3 linked regions of the Sus scrofa genome follow. The protein of the gene in region 3 interacts with the protein of the main gene of each other region in a pairwise test. Links are inferred from orthologs where the notes say so. Each region holds a gene or a part of one and is shown on either strand. Other genes may lie near its edges.

Region 1 (4,787 bases), on a different chromosome or scaffold from region 3:
AAGCAGACAAGATGCCATTACTCTTGGCTGAGATTAAGAGGGTTTCCTTACCATGGGCTGTTGGGGTTCGGGGGCTGCTTTCAGTGAGGCGAGATCGTACACGAGCGGCTCTCTGCACACTGGGCACTGCACACCCACGGCCTTCTGAAAAGAGAGGAGAAATCACAGGCCTGCTTCCCAGCCCAGGGCACTTGTCAGCTGCCCAACCCTATCCGCCAGCCTCACCTACAGAGAGCTGGGACAGAATGGCACAGCCACACCTGATGGTAGTGAGGTGGGCCAGAGCAGAGGCTGCCTACTGGAGGTCTGGAAACCTTCTGAAACCACGTGCAATACTGTTACATGCACATAAGGATGCCCTTGTTCCAGGACAGAGGGGAGCTTTCATTAATCTCCAAGATACCCAGGACCCTGAAAAGGCTGAGAAGGCCTGGCAGTGGAAGGATAGAAAAGGTTAGGCGAGCTGGCCGTATCAAGCCAGCAAGGGGCGGCGGGGTCGACCTGTTTAGCTGCGGCGTGCTGCCGTTGCTGTTCCTGTTCCCGTCCCTGGGCCTGCAGCTCGTGCTCCATGTGCTGGATGTACCGGGCCAGGCAGTGGCAGTGGAAGTAGTGGTAACAGGGTGTTTTGGTAAAGGCTTCCTTCTCCTGGAGGGAGGGCACTGCATCAGAGCTCTCCCGAGCCCTCCACTGGCCTGAGCAGACCCCAGGTCCCAAGAGAGAAACCCACCTGGAAACCATAGAGGCAGATGACGCACTGGCCGTGGGGGATGTTGTTATCTGTAAGGATTTCCTTCCCTTTCTGCGGGGAGAGAAGACACTGTTTAAACAGGGAGGCGGCAGCCAGAACTATGAGCAAAGCTCATTCTCCCAGCAGTGACCTGCTGGACTGTTCCCACCAAGCCAATTTATCTCACGTTCACACGATTCTTTTTCTTTAGGGCCGCAACTGCGGCACATGGAAGTTCCTGGGCTAGGGGTCAAATCAGAGCCGCAGCTGCCGGCCTACACCACAGCCACAGCAAAAAAGGATCTGAGCTGCATCTGCAACCTACACAGCAACACCGGATCCTTAACCTACTGAGCGAGGCCAGGAATCAAACCTGCATCCTCATGGATACTAGTTGGGTTCTTAACAGGCTGAGCCACAATGGGAACTCCCCGTGTTCATGCATTTCTGTTTTGATTTTTCTTTCTTTCTTTCTTTCTTTTTTTTTTTAAGGGCTGAACCCGTTGGCACATGGAGGTTCCCAGGCAAGGGTCCAATTGGAGCTGTAGTTACCGGCCTACACCACAGCTCATGGCAATGCCAGATCCTTAACCCACTGAGCGAAGCCAGGCATCGAACTGGCATCCTCATGGATCCTAGCTGGGTTCTTTAACCACTGAGCCACGATAGGAACTCCTATTTCTGTCTTGGTGATCTCCCTCTGCTTGGAATTAATCCTCTTCCACATCCTCGCCCTCCCCCCAAATCTGCCCAGCTGCAAAATCCAGTTTCATTGTTTTCCTACTCATTAAGTCACCGTTTATACATCTTGGGGATGGAAATACAACACCTTAGAGAGAAAAAAAAATGTTCAAATAAAACTCATATCCTCTGGGAGGACTTTCCGGGTTATCCCCCTGCTCTGGAGTCAGCTTTCAGAAAGAAAGTGAAGGCACTGACACCCCAAACGGACAGAGAATTCACAAGGCATTGGGCTGAGCTATGAAATATGCATCTGCGATACTGTTTGAATAGCTAATACTCTGGAATTCCACCAAGTTCAAAGCTGCATTGTGGAGGCCTGACTCAGAAGCGCTACAGTGGTCTTTGCCCACTTGGACTCCAGGCCGCCCACCTTCATTCTTTTCTGCATATCTTCTCAAAAACGCAGAGGAAAACAAGACTGTATTTGTATTTTCTGATCTCAAACAACCAACGTTACCTGTGTATTTTAACTCAGAGCTCTAGGTATGGTTTCCTGTGGGTCGTTTCCTTCACTAGGGTTCTCTGAGTAAAAGAACCAAGACCTTCTAGTTGGCCAATGGCCAACTAGCCTCCAAATGTTCATTTACGGCTAGACCCTGTAGCCAAGGTCCAGCTGAACCAAGGTCAAGTGTTCACTTATGGCTAGAAGCTCTAGGCAAGATCTCTTACTACTTTCAGCTGCCAACGCCAAGAGAACAAGAAATGCACTGACACTGCAGCAAGAAAAGATGCAAGTCAAAGAGGAGAAGTAATTTTCTGTCAAGATGCTGGAATATACAGCAAAAGTTATCACAACCCTGTAAACCAACTATATTTCACTAAAACTTCAAAAAGATGCTGGAATAGTTAACTTGGCAAAGCGAAAGAACTGTCTTTCGGGGAGACTTTTTGTAACAGAAGAGCATTTCATGTCTCTGGATCAGTTGAGGCTTTACCTAAACAATAATTAAATGAATGTCTCCAGATGTGGTGGAGTCCAGGCCCATGGTCTCCCTTGAAAGAAACTGCTCTCGCTGGAAGGGAAGGACTTTTTCTAACACACTTCTCACCTCGATGAGCTCATAGAGCATGGCCGTACCCAGTCCAGCCTCAGCCACATGGCTCAGCGCCTGTGAGATCCTGGAGAGAGAGAGAGACAGCAACGCAAACATTAGGCCTGCCGCCTGCCCTCACCAGACTGGGCTGTATCCCAAGCTTCCCCTGCGCTGACCAGCCCGACCTACTTGTGGATCTGTTCATCTGAGAGTCCTCGGGGGTTACGGATAGAGATCTGTGGCACCTCATGGGGATACTAAGAGGAGAAAGTGACAAGTTACTGCCAAAGCACTTCACCCTGGGGCCTCTCCCCTGCCTCCCATTGTTGCCATAAAGTCGAGGCCTCACCTGTGCTGGAACCTGAAGCACCAGAGTGAAGCAGACATACTGCGAATCCTGGTCTTCGGCAGTGGCGGGGTGCAGGGTGATGGAGATCTCCCACGGTGACGATCTGCAGGTGGATGGAGTGGAGACCTGGGATGTGACTGGGCAGGGGCTTGAGGGCTGGGGAGGATGGTGGTGAGAAAGGAAAGCGGCCAGAGGAAGTAAGCATCGGGCTCTTTCTTGGGGGGCATTAAAGGAATAGTCTTTGTCTACATGACAGAAATATCTGAATCCAGGCACTCAGATACTTCATGGAGTCCTCTCCTTCCCAAGGGGACTCCTGCCCACCTCTAGTTAAATACATACCTGCTATTTCCTTTAACCACCTGTAGTTCATCCAGGTAGATTGACTCTAACACTTCAACTTCAGAGGGAAGGACCCTAGAGAGACAGGGGGAGACTGACTCACCATGACAGCTCTCCCTGTTAAACCCCACCAAGGCCACTGAAGACTGGCTCTGCAGAAAAATGGCAATCGGCCTGAGTGCACTCTCTTGTTAACCTCCATAAAGACAGATGGGGGAAACGTTTCCTTAAGCTGTCAAATGGCCAGGTAGGAAGCATGGGAATCAGAGTTTTGGAGATCATTTCTGCCAACAGATGACGAAACAGAGTCCCAAGAGGGTGAAATGACTAGCCCAGATCTCCAGTCTTAACAAAGGCAGAACTGGGACCGGGCCTAGGTTTCTCGACTCCCTGTTTAGGTTTCATCACACTGTGGGTTGTTCCTTTGGGGTCAGTTCTCTAACTCAAAAATATGATGTCCATTGATGAGAATTAAGGCTACTAATACCTGGCCTTCCCTACGCTGCTGTTCATGGATCCCAGTGTCTATCTATGCACACTGCCAATACCAGTCACCATTAACCTCCTCAAAGGAGAGACCCACCTGAACAGAACAGAGCTATGTGGTATAAAGGCTGTGCTCTAGCGGAAAAGCCATCAGTCTTGGAATCAGTAATAGGTACCAATCACTTGCCAGCTACGTGATCTGAGTAGTTATTTATACCTGTAAGCCTGAACTACCCTGTCCACCACATACAGATATCACCACCTACTCTCCAGGGTTATTGTGATGAAAGGTGATTGGTTTACGTAAAGTAAAATAGTATCTTGGCCATAGTAACTAATCTATGTCCTGTTTTTCCCCCTATTTATATATAACTTTCTCCCTTAAAAGGAAAGAGAGGATGTAGTTAATATTTGATGTATTTACGATCCCTGCTGTCTGATTGATCTCGATCAACCTGTCCAGGTCAGGATCCAGTGGTCCTGATGTAAATCAGAGGTCACAAATGTTTAATCACAGAAACAAGTTGTAATGACATTGAAGATAAGTGACTGGCTTGAGGCAACAGCTCTACCTACAGAATACATGGAAAATATATACTTGGTTTGCATTCTTTTTTTGGCCTGTGCCAGGGATCAAACTCACACCAGAGCAGCAACCCGTGCCACAGCAGTGATAAAGCCAGAGCCTTAACCCACTGGGCCACCAGGGAACCCTTGGTTTGCTTTCTTATACTGTCTCTTCTTCACCAAGAATGGACATATATACATATGTATACGTATGTGTGTGTCTATATATATATGTGTGTGTGTGTATATACATACATATGTAGATGGTATTTCTCAAAATCTTTTAAAGTCTTTTTAAGTCTTAGGCAGATACTCAAAACATAACATATATATAACACAGGTAACAGTGGACTGGTTCTGGATGACATGAGCATCAGAGTCTTAGAGCACCACAGGCTAGTTGTGCAATCAATACTGCTCTCTCTGTGACACAGAGGGTATCTTCAGAATCTTAAAGTCCACCTGAATAGGTTGAAAACCACAAGTCTGGATGGTCTCAAAAAAAAAAAAAAAAAAAAAAAAAAAAAGCCAGCACTGG
Region 2 (5,771 bases), on a different chromosome or scaffold from region 3:
GGTGATGGCCATTCTGGCTGGTGTAAGGTGGTACCTCAGAGTGGTTTTGATTTGCATTTCTCTACTAATGAGTGATGTTGAACATCTTTTCATGTGTTTCTCTGCCATCTGTATGTCTTCTTTGGAGAACTGTCTGTTTAGATCTTCTGCCCATTTTTTGATGGGGTTGTTTGTTTTTTTGTTGTTGAGCTGCAGAAGGTGTTCATAAATTTTGGAGATTAATTCCTTGTCAGTCGATTCACTTGCAAAGATTTTCTCCCATTCTGTGGGTTGTCTTTTCGTGTTGTTTAGGGTTTCCTTTGCTGTGCAGAAACTTTGAAGTTTGATTAGGTCCCATTTGCTTATTTTTGTTTTTATTGTCAATACTCTAAGAGGTGGATCTGAGAAGATGTTGCTTAAATTTTCTATTCTTACAATGTCTTCGTATTCCTAGCATAAATCCAATTTGGTCAAGAGGCATTCTTTTAAATATATACTGATGAATTTGGTTTGCCAATATGTTTTTGGATTTTGTGTTTATGTTCACAAATAAAGTGTCTTTTAATTTTCTTTTCTTAACACTATCCTTGTCTGATATGGGTATCAAGTTTATGCTAGTCTATAAAATAAGTGGGAGAATCTTTTATCTTCTACTTTGGGGGGAATTTATGATCGTCAACATGGTATTATTTGCGTATCTGGTAGAACTTGCTGTCAAACTGTCATCTGTAGGCCTGTTTTTAATTAGTTTGTTTCTGTTTTTGTTTTGTCTTTTCAGGGCCACACCCGCGGCATATAGAGGTTCCCAGGCCAGGGGTCGAATTGGAGCTACAGCTGCCGGCCTACACCACAGACACAGCAATGCCTGATCAGAGCCACGTCTGCGACCTACAGCACAGCTCACAGCAATGCCAGATCCTTAATCCACTGAGCAAGGCCAAGGATCGAACCTGCAACCTCATGGTTCCTAGTCAGATTCATTTTCACTGAACCACGATGGGAACTCCTGCTAAAACTCTTTATTGCCAAGTACATGATCAATTTCTATAATACTTTCTATGTACTTGAAAAGAAAATGGACTCTCTAGTTGCTGGGTGCATGTACACACATACACATCCATTAGATCCAAACTGTTAACTGTATTGAGCAATTTTCCTAGGTCTTAACTAATTTTGCGTACGTCTGATTGACTCAATGAGAAATATGCTGACATTTCCCATCATCATGACAGATTCAATTTTTTTCTGACAGTTCCATAAATATTTTACTTTGAGATTGTGTTATTTGGTACACAAAGAACTACATTTTATAAGCTTTTATCACCATATTGTACCAATAATACCTTTTACAATAGAGTTAGTTTTGTCCAATATTAATTTGCTTTGTCAGTTTTTAGTTAATATTTGCCTGGATATAGTTTTCTATCCTTTTGTTTCCTTATTTCTCTATATCCCTTATGTTTAAGTGTGTTGCTCATCAATAGCACATCCCAATCTTTTGTTTTCAAGTGGTGAGTTTGGATTTATTCTAACTGCCGATACTGAATTTACTTTTGCCTCTTTGTTTCTTGGTACTGTTTACTGTTTTCTTTATGTCTGCCCCAATCTCCATGCCCTGCTTTTAAACAAAATTCCACCTTCTTCCTTTTCTTGACTTTAAAGTTATAGTTTTCCATTCTTTTTGTACGTTACCTTAAATCATCTTTTTACCTAAGTTTTTTCCATGTTGTTCTGCAACCAACAACACTTTATAAGAACCAGATGGGCTCTGGAGTCAAAGAGACACGGCTGGAATCCCAGTTCTTCCATTTACTATTAACCATGTAACCTTGCAGATGTTGCCTATGGTCGGTCCCCCAGCTTATTCCTTCAACTGTGAAGTCAGACTGTTATGAGGCTTACATAAAATAACCTATTTAAGAAGTGATGGACAACACCTGGATCAGAGTAAATGCTGAATAAATGATAGACTTTAGGATCCAAACAGATGCGGGCTTAAACTGTAGTACTATAAGGAAAAAAGGCCATTATTCTTTAAGAAATGGGGAAAGAGAGTTTAAATTAAGGGAAAAAAAAAAACCTTTTGAGCCCTAGCTACAATGTCTGAAACTTAGGTCTTTTAGTCTAAGATCAACTTGGTTATTACCATAAAATTAAACTTACCCTTTATGATATATGCATAGACAAGGCAGTCGTGCTATCGTATCTCCCTGCTGCAACTCTTCAAGGCATATTGAACATTCCCCAGCATCTTTACTCAGTACATCCTCTGAGAAAAGAGAAAAGAATTTAGGGTAATAGAACTGAAAGAATTATGTGGATGGTAATTTATAAAAAGGGGTAACTGGTATATTCTGTTAAAATACATAGAACTCAGCACCTACAACTGATAAACTACTCATAATCAACGACTAATATTTACCTTTATTATGGACAGTGTCTTTCACTTCCGTTTAAATTTCCCTGAGGCATTACAGTAAGGAAGAAGTGCACAGAATCCTCCTACTTGCAAAGGACTTTGCTATCAAACTTTATTGGTAAGTCAGTTATTTGTAATTTATTTTCCTTATCCTACTAATCAGTATTAATTTGGTGCCCAAGCTAGTTCAAAAAAGTGTATAAAATAGAACACGGCAGAAAAAAACAATACTATCATGAATTTTTAAAATTCTAAAATAAAATCATGTAAGTTATAGAAATCACCCCGAATATTAAACTTTAAAAAAATCTGCTTAATTCAAGAAAATGCAAAAGTAGCTCAAAGCTTTTATGTAGATTCTGAAAGGGACTTTTGGAAAGTTGAGGATTCCAGACAGTGGACTGAACAATTCTCCTTAATCCTTTTCCATGACAATGCCAAGCCTAATCCACGTACTCACGAGACTTATTTTCAGAAGGCCCTGAACAAAGTGTTTAAAATAACTGTTGTGAAATTCCTTATAAAGCAAAGATTCCTTTCGAAAAAAAGTTCTCTCAATTTATGTTTTACACCGAAATTTTAAATTGTTTTATTAATGTTAAATTTTAATTTTTAAAAGGATCTTGTGTAACAACAGAGTAAGCTTTGTGACTCTTTTTAAATGAGGAATAACTAAAACAATGCCGTTACTGTAGAGCATGGAGAAACTGCTCGACAGTATACAGTCTCGATGAGTTGTGAGAATGAAAAACAAAAGCAGGAACATGCAATATAAATTTATACCACAAATAGACATGTTACTGTTTTGGGAAGTGAAAAATCAAACAAGCTAAGGAGAAAGACTAAATCAATCTTTATCTAAATACTTAAAACACAGATCAAGGTAGGAAAGTTTCCTAAAATTATTTGTCTGGTGGTTCCACACCTGCTGCTAAAACCAACAAATTTCATCGTGCACATATCTGTAATAGTTCCTTGTAGAAAGTCCATTCTATTCATTTTGAGACAGCACATTAAGAGGAAACACAGACTCTATTTGGTCTATAAAAGGGAAAGTATCAGCAGATGTTTACCCATAAGGCTAGAGGGGGTACCAGAGCAACTTTCACCGGAAAAAGAGAGGCCTCGGCAAGAAGGTTTATGCTTTCAGATCTGGGGAATATGGTTAAAGTGATTTTAGCTAACTACTGGGTAGCTCACAAACTAATATATCACATCAGACTTATCCAGAAAAAGATTTCTGGGCAAGTATAACTGGATAAGTGAAAAGTGCTCTTTATTAATTAACACCCCCTCAAAAGTCCTTTCCCCATTTTTCTTTTCTGGATCCTGGAGATCCCAACCACTACCCCTGCCCCAACTGCAACTTTCCTCCTTCTTTTGACCTACATTTTTCTATTACTGTTCTGGATAGCTTTCCACAGATGGGGAACTAGTTTAAGGTAACACACCTAACTAGTGCTGAAATTAACTGGTACACTGGAACCCACAAAACGGGAGTCATTCCAGTGGCCCCGACCACATCACAAATCTGTAGCACAGTCACCCTGCACTTACGGAGAACACCTCACTGTCGAGGAAACTTAACACCATTCACGATGCTCCAACTCAGCTTTGGCTAGCTTTACCTTGCCCCCCAAAACAGGACCTGCTAAGCCTTAGAAGGAAACCCCTATTCTTCTGGCCAATCATGTCCTGTTTCTGTGGTGCCTCGTCTAAGGTCCCATAAAATTCACTCTTGCCCAAAATCCCCTGGAGAAGTGCTTGCTGAGCACTGTAGTCTTCCAATCTATGGACTGTTTTCTCCTGAATAAAGGGCATCAAACTTAAATTTTTTTAGGTTTTGTCATTTGACATTAGGATAACAGCAATGAAAACAAAAGTCTGAAGCAAACACTAAAACACCACAGTACAAGTCTCTAATTCCAAATAATATGGCATATTCTCACCACTTACGTTTTTTCACCACAACGATATCCAACATCATAATACGAATCTAAGTCTTACAACTAACTTTAAAAAATTAACCATTACTTTTTATCAAGTCTAAGACATAAATGATAATAAGATGCACCACTAGTTTAATATTCCCAGAAAAAAGGCTTCCATATATAAATCAATTTTAAGATATCTCACTTTCTATAGCTATTAAAAATTTTTAAAAAGAAGTATGTCCTAGAATTGATGGGAGAGGGTATCAAATTTTCTTCCTCTTGGAATACATTAACAATGCATATAGATTTAAATCTAAATGAACCATAAAACCTCAATTATCATAAATCAGTGAGACAGACCAGCTTTCAAAAAATACAAAGTACTGCCACATTTTTGCCATACAAGTCTATGTAACAGAGCCTCAACCATACACAAATAGGTAGAAATCTATTACATACTACAAGCTTCTGAATTCATTCATTCACAGAAAAATAAGTGTCTTATAATACTTTTATGTTGACCTATGACTATCAACTCTTGTTTCTTTATTGCAAGAGGTTTGTTTTAAAAATCTTTGAGTTGGGAATTTTTAGTATCTTAAAAAGCCTTGGTTTTATCCAGTTTATGAGAATTAATTAATTTACAGCGTAACAAAGACAAATCCAATCTGCATAAAATCATCAGAATAGCTTGTATTTTAAGAATATAATGATATGCTTCTCAGTTACTAAGTTTAAAAAAACCTTTTTAGTTTAATCTAGAATGCCGTATTAAAGTCTTTTTTTTTTTTTTTTTTTTCTTTTTCCCTTTTTTGGTCTTTTTAGGGCCGCACCCTTGGCATTTGGAAGTTCCCAGGCTAGAGGCAGAATCAGAACCATAGTCGCTGGCCTGTACCACAGCCACAGCCACATGGGATCTGAGCCCCGTCTGCGACCTACACCACAGCTACGGCAATGCCAGATCCCTAATCCACTAAGTGAGGCCGGGTATCGAACTTGCATCCTCATGGATACTAATCAGATTCATTTTCACTGAGCCACAATGGGAACTCCAAAGTCAGTCATTTTTATCAGAAGGTTCCTAAGCCCAAGTAATGAAAACTAAGCTGAACTATATTTTCTATATTTAGAAAGGTATACATATACATATATTCAAGAACATTCCGAACACATTAATTTCAATATAGAAGCAGCCTAATATCCAATTTAAATAGCTTCTAATGAAATGACCTCTGCTCAGAAAATTAAAAGCTAATGTTAACATATTATAGCCACTGCTCAACTTCATTTTGATAAGAAACTGAGTTAAAAGCAAGTTCAATCTCATTATAAAACCTCAGTTACTGCCTCAAATAGCAAATGCTTAATTTTCAAGTGTGAAAGTTGTTTTTTCGGTTTTGTTTTGTTTTTTTTTGTCTTTTTAGGGCCGGACTTGCAGC
Region 3 (5,013 bases):
TGCTACGGTTCTCTGAAGATTTTGGCAGGATTTGAGTAATGGGCTAACTGTATTTAGCAGGTTGATAATGTTTTAACTAATTTTAAAAGTAGGATGCAAGCTACTTAGCAGTTTCAACTGTGGAAGCAGTTAACTATTGGTTTTAAATATAAAATATGAGATAAACTGTCCCACCAAGAAAGGTTAAAAAAAATCTGGTAAATAGTAGTATCTCAAATACTTTTTATGGCAAGGTTCAGTAAATTTAAACTCAATTGGCTCAGTTCAGTGAGTTCAAGCCAAGAACCACTTGCATATAAAAGATATAAAACTTACATAGTGGCAGTACTAGTTGATTTATAGTAATTTAAAATTTGTTTCTCTTGTGGCTCAGCTGGTTAAGGATCTGGTGGTGTTACTGCAGTGGCTTGGGTTTGATCCCTGGCCTAAGAACATCCCCATGCCGAGGGTGTGACCACAAAATAAAATTTCTCATCACAGGTACATTTTTTAGTTAAAAAAAAAAAAAGTCACTCAGAAGATATGGTTAAGTCATCCCCTGCTTTCACCCAGTTACTGAGTATTTATCTTTTAGGTTTTTAACATGGATAGTTTTACAATTATAAAAATAATAGACTAGATCTTGCAGTCTGCTCCTCTACTGAATGCAGCCTAGACCATATTCTTTTTATTAATTAATTTTAGGGCCCCACCTGAAGCATATGGAGGTTTCCAGGCTAGGGGTCAAATTGGAGCTGTAGCCACCAGTCACAGCAACACCAGATCCAAGCCACATCTGTGACCTACACCACAGCGACAGCAACGCCAGATCTGAGCCAGGTCTTCAACCTACACCACAGCTCATGGAACACTGGGTCCTTAACCCAGTGAGTGAGGCCAGGGATCGAAGTTGTGTCCTCACAGATGCTAGTCAGATTCATTTCCACTGAGCCACGACGGGAATGCCCATATTCTATTTTTTTGCTTTTTAGGGCTGCACCGGCATCATATGGAGGTTCCCAGGTAGGAGTCTCATCAGAGCTACAAGCTGCCAGCCTACACCACAGCCACAGCAAGGCCAGACCCGAGTCACGTCTGTGACCTACACCACAGCTCACCTCATGGCCAGATCCTTAACCCACTGAGCAAGGCCAGGGATCTAACCTGCAACCTCACGGTTCCTGGTCGGATTCGTTTCTGCTGCACCATGACGGCAACTCCTCCCATATTCTTTTTAAATGCTCAGTGAATGTGTATGCACCCTCACACTGGCCTGGGGTGAGTGGACAGGCATATACATGGAGCTACTGCCTGAATGCCCTCTGATGGGGCTGTAGTACTTCTCCAAGAGAACTCACTTCCTGTGTACTACCACCACAGCATCTGCACACTGGAAAATGCTTTTAAAAAGATGCAATAGAACTCTGTCTTGAAAGACAGTGAGTTAGATTATTAAACTTCTTCTAAGACACCTCAAAATCTACCCTGCAGGGCTACTGGATAAACTAAGAGTACCAATCCTAACACAGGTGCTGGATAAACAGTACCAGAGTATTCAGTCTGCATTACCTCTCTATTGCTTTAGTAGCAAAGACCTATCAAGAAGAAAAACTACAGGAGTTCCCGTTGTGGTGCAGTGATAACGGACCCGACTAGTATCCATGAGGATGCAGGTTCCATCCCTGGCCTTGCTCAGTGGGTTAAGGATCCGGCATTGCAGTGAGCTGCGGTAGGTTGAAGATGCAGCTTGGATCTGGCCTTGCTGTGGCTGTGGTGCAGGATGGCGCTATAGCTCTGATTTGACCCCTAACCTGGTAACTTCCATGTGTTGCAGATGTGGCCATAAAAAGCAAAAAAAAAAAAAAAAAAAAAAAAAAAAAGAAAAAGAAAGTACAAAGTAAGAAATAGAAAGTAAAAGAAGACAGTGTTAGGTGGTCGTTTTAATATTGTTTATTAGCACAGTAACAAATGCAGACTTAAGTAGTCCACAACATATAACCAATCCACTGGGCAACTCCTAGTCCACGCCTTACAGTTAACAGCTTAAGGTATTTTACTACAGGTTTTACAGGTCCTGATTCAAACCTCTACCTTTTCACAATAAAGTAGATTGGCATATAAAATAAAATATATAACTACTCATTTCCTACGTGGTGTCTTAGAGTTACACGTCCATTTTCTATATATGAGATGACAGTCTCTAAAAGCTGTTAAATATCAACGTTCCCTTACAAGAAGGGAAAACAGATTCCAATTTTTTTTAAACAAAAACGTGTGTAGTCTTGAAGGACTTTACATAAATGGCCCTGTGTGTGTAACCTGTAAAAAATTAAGCTGTTTTTAAATTTACAGACTACAAGCAACTGAACCCAAATATCTATTCTCTGTATTGCATTTCAGCTAATATTGCAGAACTAATGACAGTTTTAAAAGTTGCTATTACCAATTCTGTCTACTGTAGCAAGATACCTTAAGTTACAACAAAATCTTAGGAAATAAAACTGAATAATATCTGTTATAGAAATACCCTACTCTTTACCAACTCCCACCCTCCCCCACCCCTTCAAAATCATAAGCAGCTCTCTGTGACAGACAAATAATGTAAAGAATTGTGAAAACCCAATTTATGTAGCGTATCTCTTGGTCCACTGTCTGGCCATTCTGTCATGTTCTGCTCTGTTGGTCATATACTGAGTGGCAATACTTCCCACCAAGGGGTCGGCTGGAAGAAAAGAATGTAGATTACTTTGAAGAAAGAGCAAGAACACTTTAAGTTTTAGCAAATAAGTTAGCGACATGCTCGGGAAGAAATGTAAAAGCAGTTGTGATCAAACCACTCCATTCTGGATAGTTTTCCTTCTAGACTTTAAAAACCAGCATGTGGGGAGAAAAAAGCACACAAAAAAGCCCAGCATGTGTGCAGGGGGCTATCCTAATCCAAACAGAGTGTACACGCTTCAGCACTGGTCTGGGTTCATCTCCTTCCTCACTCCATTTCGTGTCCAACAATGATTCCCCAACCCGCACCCCCACACTGGAGGGTTTTGCTCTTACATGTTAGGGTACGGAATGTTCGAGGCCCTAGACTACGGTGAACATCAGCTGTATTCACGTGACCTTTTGCGAATGGCATCAATTATGACACTGAATACTGCGATGTCCTCAAGGCTATTGCAATACAACACTAGTTACCTCTATGCTATTTGCCTAGAAAGGGCCAAACTTTCACTAAGTTTAGTATTTCTCTGAAACTCAACAGAATTTTAATAATTTATATTTGGTTTATCTAGGGGAAAAAGTTTTAGTAAGAGGAAATTAAGCCTCCCTGCCACTCTGCCCCCCGCCCCCACCTCCCACTGTCTAAGTTTATAGCAGAGAAAAAATCTCAGAACTGACCGCCACTTTAGTGAGCAGCTATCGACTCACAGGCAGTGGTGAGGCTACTGGGGCAGGTAACTCAACATTTCCAAGTATGCGGTTGTTTTAAGAGAACTCTTTGGGAAACAGGCAAAAGAGGGGGGAGGAGAGTGAAAGACTGAAAATGTTAAAACCTAACATTATAGGTCTTATATTAAGTCCTCAGCTTAGACTGAACTCTGGATTACACATTCCTTTGAAAACCAACCAGGTTTTGTCCTTTGAAAGCTTGTACAAAAATAAAATCTGAACTTTTTCTTGAGGAGGAGTAAAATAAGGTAAAGAATTATTAACCTTACCAGGATTACAGTCTGTAAGAAGTGAGCAGATAGAAAGAAGAACTTTAGAGATGGTGAGGGCTGGGCTCCAATTATCTTTCAATATGTCCAAGCAAATAACTCCTTGACTGTTAATATTACAGTGATAGATTCTTGTCCGAAATGTAACCTAAAATATAAGGCACTGTTAAATAAAATTTAAACAGCCAGCAACGTAACTTTTTACTAAATTACCTTTTCAGTTTAAATTGCCCTGATTAAAACTTCTAAAGAAATACACGCTTAATTTTTAAAAAAGTAAACACAGTTAACAGTTTAACTAATTAAGGCTGATAAGAAACAAGTTAGAGACTTTTTTCCTTTTTTTTCTTTTTAGGGCTGCACCTGCGTGGCATATGGAAGTTCTCAGGCTAGGGGTTGAATCAGAGCTGTGGCCACTGCCTACACCACAGCCACAGCAACGTGGGATCTGAGCCATGTCTTGAGAGCTACAGCTCGAGGCAATGCCGGATCCCTGGCCCACTAAAGCAAGGCCAGAGATTGAACCTGCATCCTTATGGATACTAGCAGGGTTTGTTTCTGCTGAGCCACAACAGAGACTATTAAAATTGAGATTACCAAGTGTGCATTGATAACACTCTCAGGGATTTTCAATTTCATTTAAAAATAATATCCATCAACAAAAGGCAAGGTAACTTCAGTATTTCTGGATTTCATCTTTAGCGGTTTTAATGTTTTAAATATCTTCCTAATGCTTCCAGTTTGAATAGCTAATTGTTTGCTGACCTCTAGTGTTAGCTGGTAGTACTACATGGCTCCAAAGCAAGCTTTAAAGTCATAATCCAAAAGAAGAACAACCAGTGGGTCCATAAAGACAAAGTGCTTAGCAAACAATGATCACATACCCTAAAAGCTGAAATATCCACTTGAAGAGGTGTTTCTTCTTTTTCTCACCTTTAAATCAGACCATGCAGCTATCTTGCCTGACTCAAAGCACAGAATTCACTCTACTGGCATCTCCACAGGTGAGGAACCAGAAATGGTAAGGACCACAGACAGCAATGGGCAAATCAACATAAAGGCACATGAGCCTGGGTTATTTCGTATGGTCTTCCAACTGTTATTTGTGATACACTGAATCATTCCAAAGTAAAAGTAACCTAAAACATTACCACTTTTTAAAAAATGGCAGACTTTTAATCACTTCTTGCAGCTGCCACTGCACCTTTATTCAGGGGTACCCTATCCCCAAGAGGAGGTTTTCCTTCTGACTGTGAGAATCACAGTGTGCTGCAGAAGAGTGACTGGAGCAGTCCCCTCCTAACCTAGATGAGAAACT

Evidence for each region. The genes of interacting proteins can lie anywhere in the genome.
Region 1: the proteins of ubiquitin-conjugating enzyme E2 E1 (region 3) and RNF25 interact in binary tests that used the Homo sapiens proteins (3 or more experiments, as listed by UniProt). The link is inferred for Sus scrofa from reciprocal best matches to the Homo sapiens genes UBE2E1 and RNF25.
Region 2: the proteins of ubiquitin-conjugating enzyme E2 E1 (region 3) and ZNRF2 interact in a two-hybrid assay, tested with the Homo sapiens proteins (2 studies listed by BioGRID). The link is inferred for Sus scrofa from reciprocal best matches to the Homo sapiens genes UBE2E1 and ZNRF2.

What each region holds. Positions count from the first base shown.
Region 1 is NC_010457.5:120,713,448-120,718,234, forward strand, and holds part of RNF25 (E3 ubiquitin-protein ligase RNF25), read right to left. Parts: intron 3,272-4,787; coding exon 3,197-3,271; intron 2,958-3,196; coding exon 2,855-2,957; intron 2,763-2,854; coding exon 2,695-2,762; intron 2,591-2,694; coding exon 2,521-2,590; intron 800-2,520; coding exon 728-799; intron 646-727; coding exon 502-645; intron 145-501; coding exon 52-144; intron 1-51. UniProt on the Homo sapiens protein: E3 ubiquitin-protein ligase that plays a key role in the RNF14-RNF25 translation quality control pathway, a pathway that takes place when a ribosome has stalled during translation, and which promotes ubiquitination and degradation of translation factors on stalled ribosomes.
Region 2 is NC_010460.4:42,560,605-42,566,375, forward strand, and holds part of ZNRF2 (E3 ubiquitin-protein ligase ZNRF2), read right to left. Parts: intron 2,249-5,771; coding exon 2,143-2,248; intron 1-2,142. UniProt on the Homo sapiens protein: E3 ubiquitin-protein ligase that plays a role in the establishment and maintenance of neuronal transmission and plasticity. Ubiquitinates the Na(+)/K(+) ATPase alpha-1 subunit/ATP1A1 and thereby influences its endocytosis and/or degradation.
Region 3 is NC_010455.5:10,680,713-10,685,725, reverse strand, and holds the end of ubiquitin-conjugating enzyme E2 E1, read right to left. Parts: intron 3,844-5,013; coding exon 3,696-3,843; intron 2,702-3,695; coding exon 2,604-2,701; 3' UTR 1,907-2,603; downstream 1-1,906. UniProt on the Homo sapiens protein: Accepts ubiquitin from the E1 complex and catalyzes its covalent attachment to other proteins. Catalyzes the covalent attachment of ISG15 to other proteins. Mediates the selective degradation of short-lived and abnormal proteins.